2 linked regions of the Drosophila melanogaster genome follow. The protein of the gene in region 1 purifies or fractionates together with the protein of each later gene. This does not show direct contact. Each region holds a gene or a part of one and is shown on either strand. Other genes may lie near its edges. The genes, in order: CG14710 and CG43342.

Region 1 (4,361 bases):
TAAATATAGTTAAGCACCGAATGTGGCACGTGACGATATTGGGGCAGAAAGTATCCCCCATATTGTGTTATATTGTGGACACGGCTTTTTTACCGGGAAAACAACAATTTCGGTGTCCGGTGGGCAGGAGTGTGCCCTTAATCACTGGCCACCACTGTGGCAGGGAGTGACGAAGAAACGAGAACGCCGCCATCGACTCCAATTGCAATTACTCATCATCTATCGCGCCAATTATTCGTAATATAATGATAAGTGCGAACCAAAACAGCTGCCAACAGATTTCCTAGTGACTCAAGGAGGTCATTTGGAGCAGGGCTCGCATACTTGGCTAATTTACTCATGGAATCCGCAGATGTGGCAAAGGTCAAGTGCGTAGGAACTAGTTTTCACAAATAGCCAAGGAGTTGATTTTTAAATTTACCGTTTAAAATTAGATTGTTGCTTTATAGCTGGGAAATTATCTATAAATTTCCATGGCATTTTTATGTTACTGGAAATGAAAGAATTCCCTCCTACGGATAGAGGTATATGATCTCAATGCACAATTTACACAATTATTAGGATATGTTCTGATTATAGAGAACTAATCGTAGTAATTTAACACTATAAGATTGCTTATAATGGCTTTAATTTCTGTATATATACCAGGAAGATAAATAGAGAACGACAATTAAACTAAAAACTTCAATTTCTGAGTAATTAGTTTAGAAATTGGAAGGCATTCAATAAAATTAACGATATATAGAGTATCGTAAGGCCCATATTTTATTGATTTACACTTTTGAGTGGGCCCTGTACAGTTTGCCACAGTTTTTCGCCTACTTCAGCTAGTTTGATGGCCGGCACAATGGTGGAGTGATGACCAATTTGAAAACTGGCACAGAGAATGGAAAACACAAAAACAAGCGCCACCTCGGTTGCAGTCATAAAGGCATTAGAAGAGGGGAGCGGTGCGGGGTCAGGGTTCGAGATGTCCATCGGCTGATGTGCTAGATATAGTATGTGATATATGTACGTATGTACATATAATAATGTGGGCGGGGGAGGCAAACTGGCACACTTGCTGACATTGCAGTGTGCACTTAACTAGAACCACCACTGTGCAGTACTCACACACACGCACACAGTCAGAAATGCCCGTGCATGTACTAACTACTCAAAATGGTCATTTTCCCGGTTGCAGCTGTGAGAAGTGAGGTCCTATATTGACAGCGGGGGTTGCCTACGGAGCACACATATCAAATATCGGTTGTTAAGGGCGTTTTCTAACGAGTCCATAACAGACGGGAAATGGAGTTCCGAAATCGAATAGGAATCGTCATCACAATCCTTGCCGATCCAAAACGAACAGTTCACCTAACTGTTAATCCAATAAAAGATCAATACACGCATTGGGCGAATAGAGCTGCGAAAGCGCAAAAGGAGAAGGAATTCGGAACGGAAGTAGGAAGAGAATCCGCGGTGGAAGCACATAATAAAACCAACGGAACGTTAAAAAAAAAAGGAAGAAGCAAAGAACGGCACTCGGTGTTGTTTTTGCAAATCTGCAAATCCCAACCAATACCATCGTGTACACCCACACGCACACATGCACACGCGTAGATTATTTTTCAAATATGCCGGCAACTGCTCTTGGTTTTGATTTGATGTACTTACTTGCTGCTGGCCTGATTATCGGTGCAATCAAAGTTAGAGATCATTTTGCCGCTGTAGCCGCTTATTGGACGATCGGTAACGATTAAATGGAAAACTGGCACACACGTAACAAAGTGAAACACACAAAATGCAAGTGGAAATGCACAGAAAATTGCAGATGCCGCGGCACGTTCGTTCAGTTCGAAAGGCGAATTAAGTGTGGCTGCCGCCGAGCCGCTAAATCACGCCGTCGGCTCGAAAATGAAAGGCACTAAATAATACCACAGATGCAGTGGCGGCGCTATAAATAGTTTGAAGGGGCTTCAGTATTTTTTTTTTAGCTTTTTCGTAGCTGATAGCTAGTTTAGGCTTAATGGTAACTTTAAACTGAAATGTATTTAAAACACTTGTAGGTATTTTTTTCATGGCAAATGCGGTCACACAGCGCAGGTCTAAAATTGTTTAAAACTCATTTAATTGAAATTAGCCTTAATTTCCAGCCCCCTTGCAAAAAAACGCTAGCCAGGATGGCCAGCTTGCCAGTGATTCTGCAATGCAGGATCTGCTTGGGCGATTTCGAAGAGAGCCAAATGATCTGCCTGTTTGGGGATAAAGGCGAAAGTGACCTCAGGAAAAAGTTGGAGCTGTGCTGTAGGATTAGGGTAAATGGAGCTGACCAGATGGGTTATATGTATCATTTCATTACTCCAACTCCCCCAGGTTCGCCAATCCCCGCAGCTGCCCGAGAAGGCCTGCAACAGCTGTTGCGAATTCGTCCAAATGTGGTTCAACTTTCGCCAGATGTGCCTGAACTCGCAGGTCTACTGGGAAACAAGTTCCTCGGAGAGACCAGAGGCTCTTGCCCAGGCAAGCGATGCCGAGTATATGTTGTATCTGTACGAGAACCTACATCTGAAACTAGGCACAGAGAATCAGGAGAAGGAAGAGATCACCGCAATAGAGGAGGGGGATGAACAGCAGGAGGATCAGTCCCAGGAAGTTCTCGATTTTAACGGATTTATCATAAACGAATCGATTGAGGAGGACGAAGAGCCTAATACGGAAAGTCCTGAGCAGATTCTGATTTCCCACATGGACTCCTACGTTGATGATCAACAAATGGAAGAACTCATTGATGATAAGGGTGAGCTTGTCGAGGAATTATCCAATGCAAACACGTTTTATGAGGTTGAGTACGGGGACGAGGAACTTCTCATGTCAAGCGCTCCTTCGCCACATCCCAGCTTCAAAATGGACAAACAAAAGCCGGGAAGGCCTCGCAAACCGGACGCCGAACTGAAATTCAAACGCAAGGATATCAACGCCAAGGAAAGGGGGAACCAGCCAAAGTGCAAGGAAGAGGAGAAGTTCATGTGCATCCTGTGCGGAAACGTCTTTTACAAGAAATCTGTTTTCACGGCCCACATGATGACCCATTCAGAGTACAAGCCCCACCAATGCGAGTAAGTGATATTAAGGTTTAGGAAGGAACAAATTTATCCTACAAAAATGTTATTGCTTTCAGAATATGCAATAAATCTTTTCGACAAATGGGCGAATTGCGAGCACACATCCGTCGTCATACGGGCGACCGTCCATACAAGTGTATGTACTGCGACCGCCACTTCTACGATCGCAGCGAACGGGTCCGCCATGAACGGGTCCACACCAACACGCGTCCTTATGCCTGCCAGGAGTGCGGGAAAACTTTTACGCACACAGCCATCCTCAAAAATCACATCCTTTCGCACTCCGCCCAAAAGAATTACAAGTAAGGGAGAGTAATCCTTTCTAGTGATTTGCACTTTTTATTAATAATTTGAACTTTTCAGCTGTGGTATCTGTTGCAAGTCATTCACTCTGCTGCACCAGCTGAAAGCTCACCTGCAAACGCTAACCCACCGCAACAAAATGGAGCAAACCATTCCCAGCTCTCCGGAAATGTTAGAGAGCTAATATAGTAAATTAATTGAGGAACTAGGGTTATCTATTATAAGTAGTATAAAGCCACTTTTCCAGAATAGACCAGCTATTTTTATTAACTATTCTACCACGTCGCTGTACTCCTTAGCTATCAGACGGTGCGCAAGAGACTTCTCGTGCGCTGTAAGTTGGTGCTTAAGCCGAAATTCTTTTTTACACATAAGACACTTGTGAGACTTTTCAGACGAATGCAGGTAGTAGTGAGCGTTACGAGAGGAGGACAGAGAGAATGTTTTTCCACATATGTTGCAAGCATAGGGTCTTTCATTCGTGTGCAAACTGAAATGAAGAAATTCAACATTGGAACTTAAATGCTGTACACAATATATATAGTTTTTGTCCATTCTACCGTTCGTGCTTGCGATGAGTGCTGTTGTCGGCAAAACGGCGCGAACAGTAGCAACATTGGTAAGGTTTCTCGCCCGTGTGCGTCCGCATGTGTGTTTTCAGGTTGCAGGCGGCTCTGAATGTCTTTTGGCAAACCCTGAATCATACATTTTATATATGAAATATTATGTTAAGATATATCACGGATACTTACTCGCACTGGTGGTCCTTTTCCTTGCGGTGCACCTGCGAGTGTGCATTTAGCTGAGATAAGCAGCGGTATGTATTGCTGCAGATCTTGCATCTGTACTTGTCCGGCTCGCAGGCCACTCCTAGATCTATCACGTAGTCGGCACTTGGCTCTAGATTATGGTAATCCTCGCTTGTCTCTTGAATACTGTCCGTAGCAGCGCTGC
Region 2 (3,376 bases), about 11 Mb from region 1:
CCCCTCCCCATTCTCGCTCAACAATCCTTTGGTCATGGAAACAGCAAAGGCCGACTCCTTAACATTACCAGACAGAATGTTGCAGTAGGATTGCACGAACTCCAGCGGGGTGGAAAATACCAAGATATCTGCGTTCTGGGCAGCTTCCAAAAGATCATTTACAGCGATCTAATACAAAAATATTTTGTATAATGCAGATACCAAAACACTGCAAGAATTTCCTTACCAGGTTATTGGGCAGCTTGATCCCAGGCAGATACTTGACATTCTCGTGACGAGTGTTTATGATCTCCGATAGGGCAGTGTCCCGAATCATTTCATCGTAGACATATAAATGCACCCGGCTGTCGAAGTCTCCCTCCAAGACATTGTTGCTCACGACGGCGGCAATGGCCGAGCCCCTAGAAAAGCCATTTGAAAGCAGTTAAATGTGTTTTAGACTTGGTAATTGAAAGAACTTACCAGCCCTCAGCCCCAATGATGCATATTTTCAACTTTCCGGCCATTGATCCAACTTTAAATTAACGAACAACAATAATTTAGGGCCGAAACGCGACCAAATGACCGCCTAAGTGTTAACTGGATGTAGAATGCTTTAAATTTTTATTATGAATTTTGATAGTCCAGAGTTAGGTGGCGTCCAAATGTGAAGTGTATAGGATGAGTTAAGGTAGTTGAAAGGCAAACACCCAACCTACTTTACGAGCAGGGACGAAACTCGTAAACAACCCCGGACGCATTATCCATTCTGTTCTGGGCCCGCATTTTGTGCTCCTGCTGGGCCTCCATTTCTGATATGGCGCGGATTTCGAACTCGGTGATTATCTGGGAGATGCGGCTCTTGGCTTCCGCCGCCAGTTTGGGTGGCAAGCCTTTGACACTGATGCAGGCGCTCTCAAAGAAAAGATCGTAGCTGTTTCTCTGAGGAACAGGGGAATCAGCCGCCGGTGGAGCTGCATTTGGTGAAGTGACTTCATCTCGCTGGGAGCTCAACCTTTTGAAGTACGCCGACAGCACTTTACGGTCTTGTTCGATGCTCTCGACAAGTTCCTGGCGGTTCTGCGGCGTTGGCCTTGAGTAGGGTAGCTGTCTTTTCTGTAGGGCTACGTTGTTCCGTTTGATGAGTAGCAAACTTTTCCTCTCGGTCTGCAAATGCATAATTTCGTTTAAATATTTGTAAATTTAAGGGCAACTTAGTAATTATACCTCTATATGATCTTCTTTAATGTATGAAGCTTTCTGCTCTTCGTTGTCGCCATTTTCAGAGGTCGTTTCATCATACACATTTGAAGTGTTCCACATTCTTATGTTATGAATATTTTGTCACTTAAGCCTTTAAATTGCATTAGCTGCTTCAAATTTAATAAACATTGGAAGAAAACACAGCCGCGCTTTGGAGATGGCAGTAGCAGTAGCCTCTAGCCTATCGATAAACAGTCCGATACCATTTCTCGCACCTATTTTGAATAGTTTGATTCGTATATCTAACAAATAAAGTATATTTGCATTGATCTTATAAAAATCGATAACATTTATTTTTAAATTTAAAATTAATGTATGCCTCTAAATTCATGCTGAAGGACAAGGGATTGTCATGATGGGCGCAGTGCGAGCGATTCATTAGCTTGAGGGTTTGGATTCAGTGCGTCCGTTTGGCTGGTTTCACTGAGGCCGCGAAGCTCGAGCTCACAGATCAGCTGCGATACTCGCATCTTGGCTTCCGCTACCAACTTTGGCGAGAGGGCTTTCACGCTGGAACTGACGCTTTCGAAAAACAGATCCACATGATTCTTCTCCTTGGGCGGCGGTGTGTGACTTAGGGTCCTCTGGCTTCCCATCAGCTCGCGGAAGGATTCCATGAGTTCGTTTTTGTCCTGGTGGATCTGCATTAGTAACTTTATGCCCTCCTGCTTAGAGGCAGAAGAGGAGCTGTCACTGCAATTGGCATGGCTTGACGGGGGTTCGGTCATCTTTGTTGTGACCTCTGTCTCTGATAAGAACTCCTGTTTGGGTACTGTCACCTTCTCACTGGCTGCAGAACAGAGGCTTTGATCAGCAATGGCCATCACGGGCATAGGCTCTGGAGTGGAAGGCGGCTCCAACTCGTGGTTCTCAGCCAAGGGCTCCATCACTACCAATTTACGCTGGTGATAGTACTTGCTACGCTGCTGGCGAATCCGGAACTCCTGGACCGCCGCGCCTTCGCCCTTTGTGAGCAGAGCCTCCAGATTGCGCTTGTGCTTGGTGGTTCGCTCGTGCCGCACCAGGTGGCATCGATTGCAGTCCATGGTGCACTGGCAAGCGCGGCAGAATGGCTTGTTAGGATCCTCGGCCGCCCGTCGGAGCCATGGATCGAAAATCTTGAGCCACTTTTCGCAGAACTTCTGGTTATATTTAGGTTTCAGAGTTCTGTGCTCCTTGTCCAGCTTTAAAGATTTCTTAGCAGTCCGCGCCTTTAGCATTTTGTCTGTCTTCCTATAAGCGAAGCATTCGTATAGAATTTGAGAGTTTCCGGCCTCAAGGACTTACCATTCAGAATCGGAGGTGTTTTCCGAGAAGCTCATTTTCGTCTTTTCGAAGTTGTTTACAATGGGTTTGTTGTGATGTTGTGATTATAGGATCAGCTGTTTCAGGCAAGCGTCATCGGTAAATACTGGTTATCGATAACAAGGCGCGAAACTTTAAGAGAATGAATTATATTTACTTCGATTAATTCACCGAAGGCAAACAAACACATTTAAAAAAATAGAAATAATACTAATAGCTAGTACAATTAAGTTTATATAGGTAATTTATTTTGGGTGTATTTTTTTTAAGATATATACAACACAAAACATTTATATAGTAACATTTGTACAATATTTTTAGGTATTTACTTTATTTGTTAAAGGCATTTGTTGGTGGTCAAATTATGAATTTAATTTAAGTGCTGCTTACAATATTCCCAAATAAATAGTGATCCAGCCACATGTACATTTAGAGAGCGCACTAAGCCATACTGGGGAATTTCGACGGCGTAGTCCAAGAATCCAATAAGGTTCGCTGGTATTCCATGTTTTTCATGCCTGAGGAGGGATGCAGAACAATAAGTTTTCAAAAAATACGCCCAAGATGTTGATTACGAACCCCAAAAGAAGAATGCTTTTCTTGGGAAACTTAAAGTCAACAAAGTTTGTGCTGTGTGCAGTTTGCTCGGCGCCAACGATTTTATAACCCTCCATTTGCTTTTCCAGCAGAAATCCAGCAAGCGATTCTGGATTCACTTCAAGTATGTTTAAAGTTTTCTCAGCAGTCATGCTAAAATAATATAATTATAATTATATAAAGCAATATAATAGGGCTACCGCGATGTTTGACGTGCATACCTCAAGTTTGT

What was found.
Region 2: the proteins of CG14710 (region 1) and CG43342 purify together in Drosophila melanogaster (affinity purification with mass spectrometry, with the first as the bait; one large-scale study listed by BioGRID). This does not show direct contact.

Annotation. Positions count from the first base shown.
Region 1 is NT_033777.3:11,618,048-11,622,408, forward strand, and holds CG14710 (uncharacterized protein), read left to right. Parts: upstream 1-2,042; 5' UTR 2,043-2,162; coding exon 2,163-2,297; intron 2,298-2,355; coding exon 2,356-3,098; intron 3,099-3,160; coding exon 3,161-3,406; intron 3,407-3,418; exon of another isoform or gene 3,419-3,467; coding exon 3,468-3,591; 3' UTR 3,592-3,677; downstream 3,678-4,361. Other genes in the region: Zaf1 (ZAD and architectural function 1), read right to left, coding at 3,678-3,897, 3,968-4,102, 4,160-4,361.
Region 2 is NT_033777.3:22,379,355-22,382,730, reverse strand, and holds CG43342 (uncharacterized protein), read right to left. Parts: upstream 1,392-3,376; 5' UTR 1,303-1,391; coding exon 1,207-1,302; intron 1,147-1,206; coding exon 700-1,146; 3' UTR 584-699; downstream 1-583. Other genes in the region: Gpdh3 (Glycerol-3-phosphate dehydrogenase 3), read right to left, coding at 1-168, 227-401, 463-506; CG34149 (uncharacterized protein), read right to left, coding at 1,593-2,475, 2,530-2,564; CG18596 (uncharacterized protein), read right to left, coding at 2,918-3,065, 3,127-3,297, 3,366-3,376.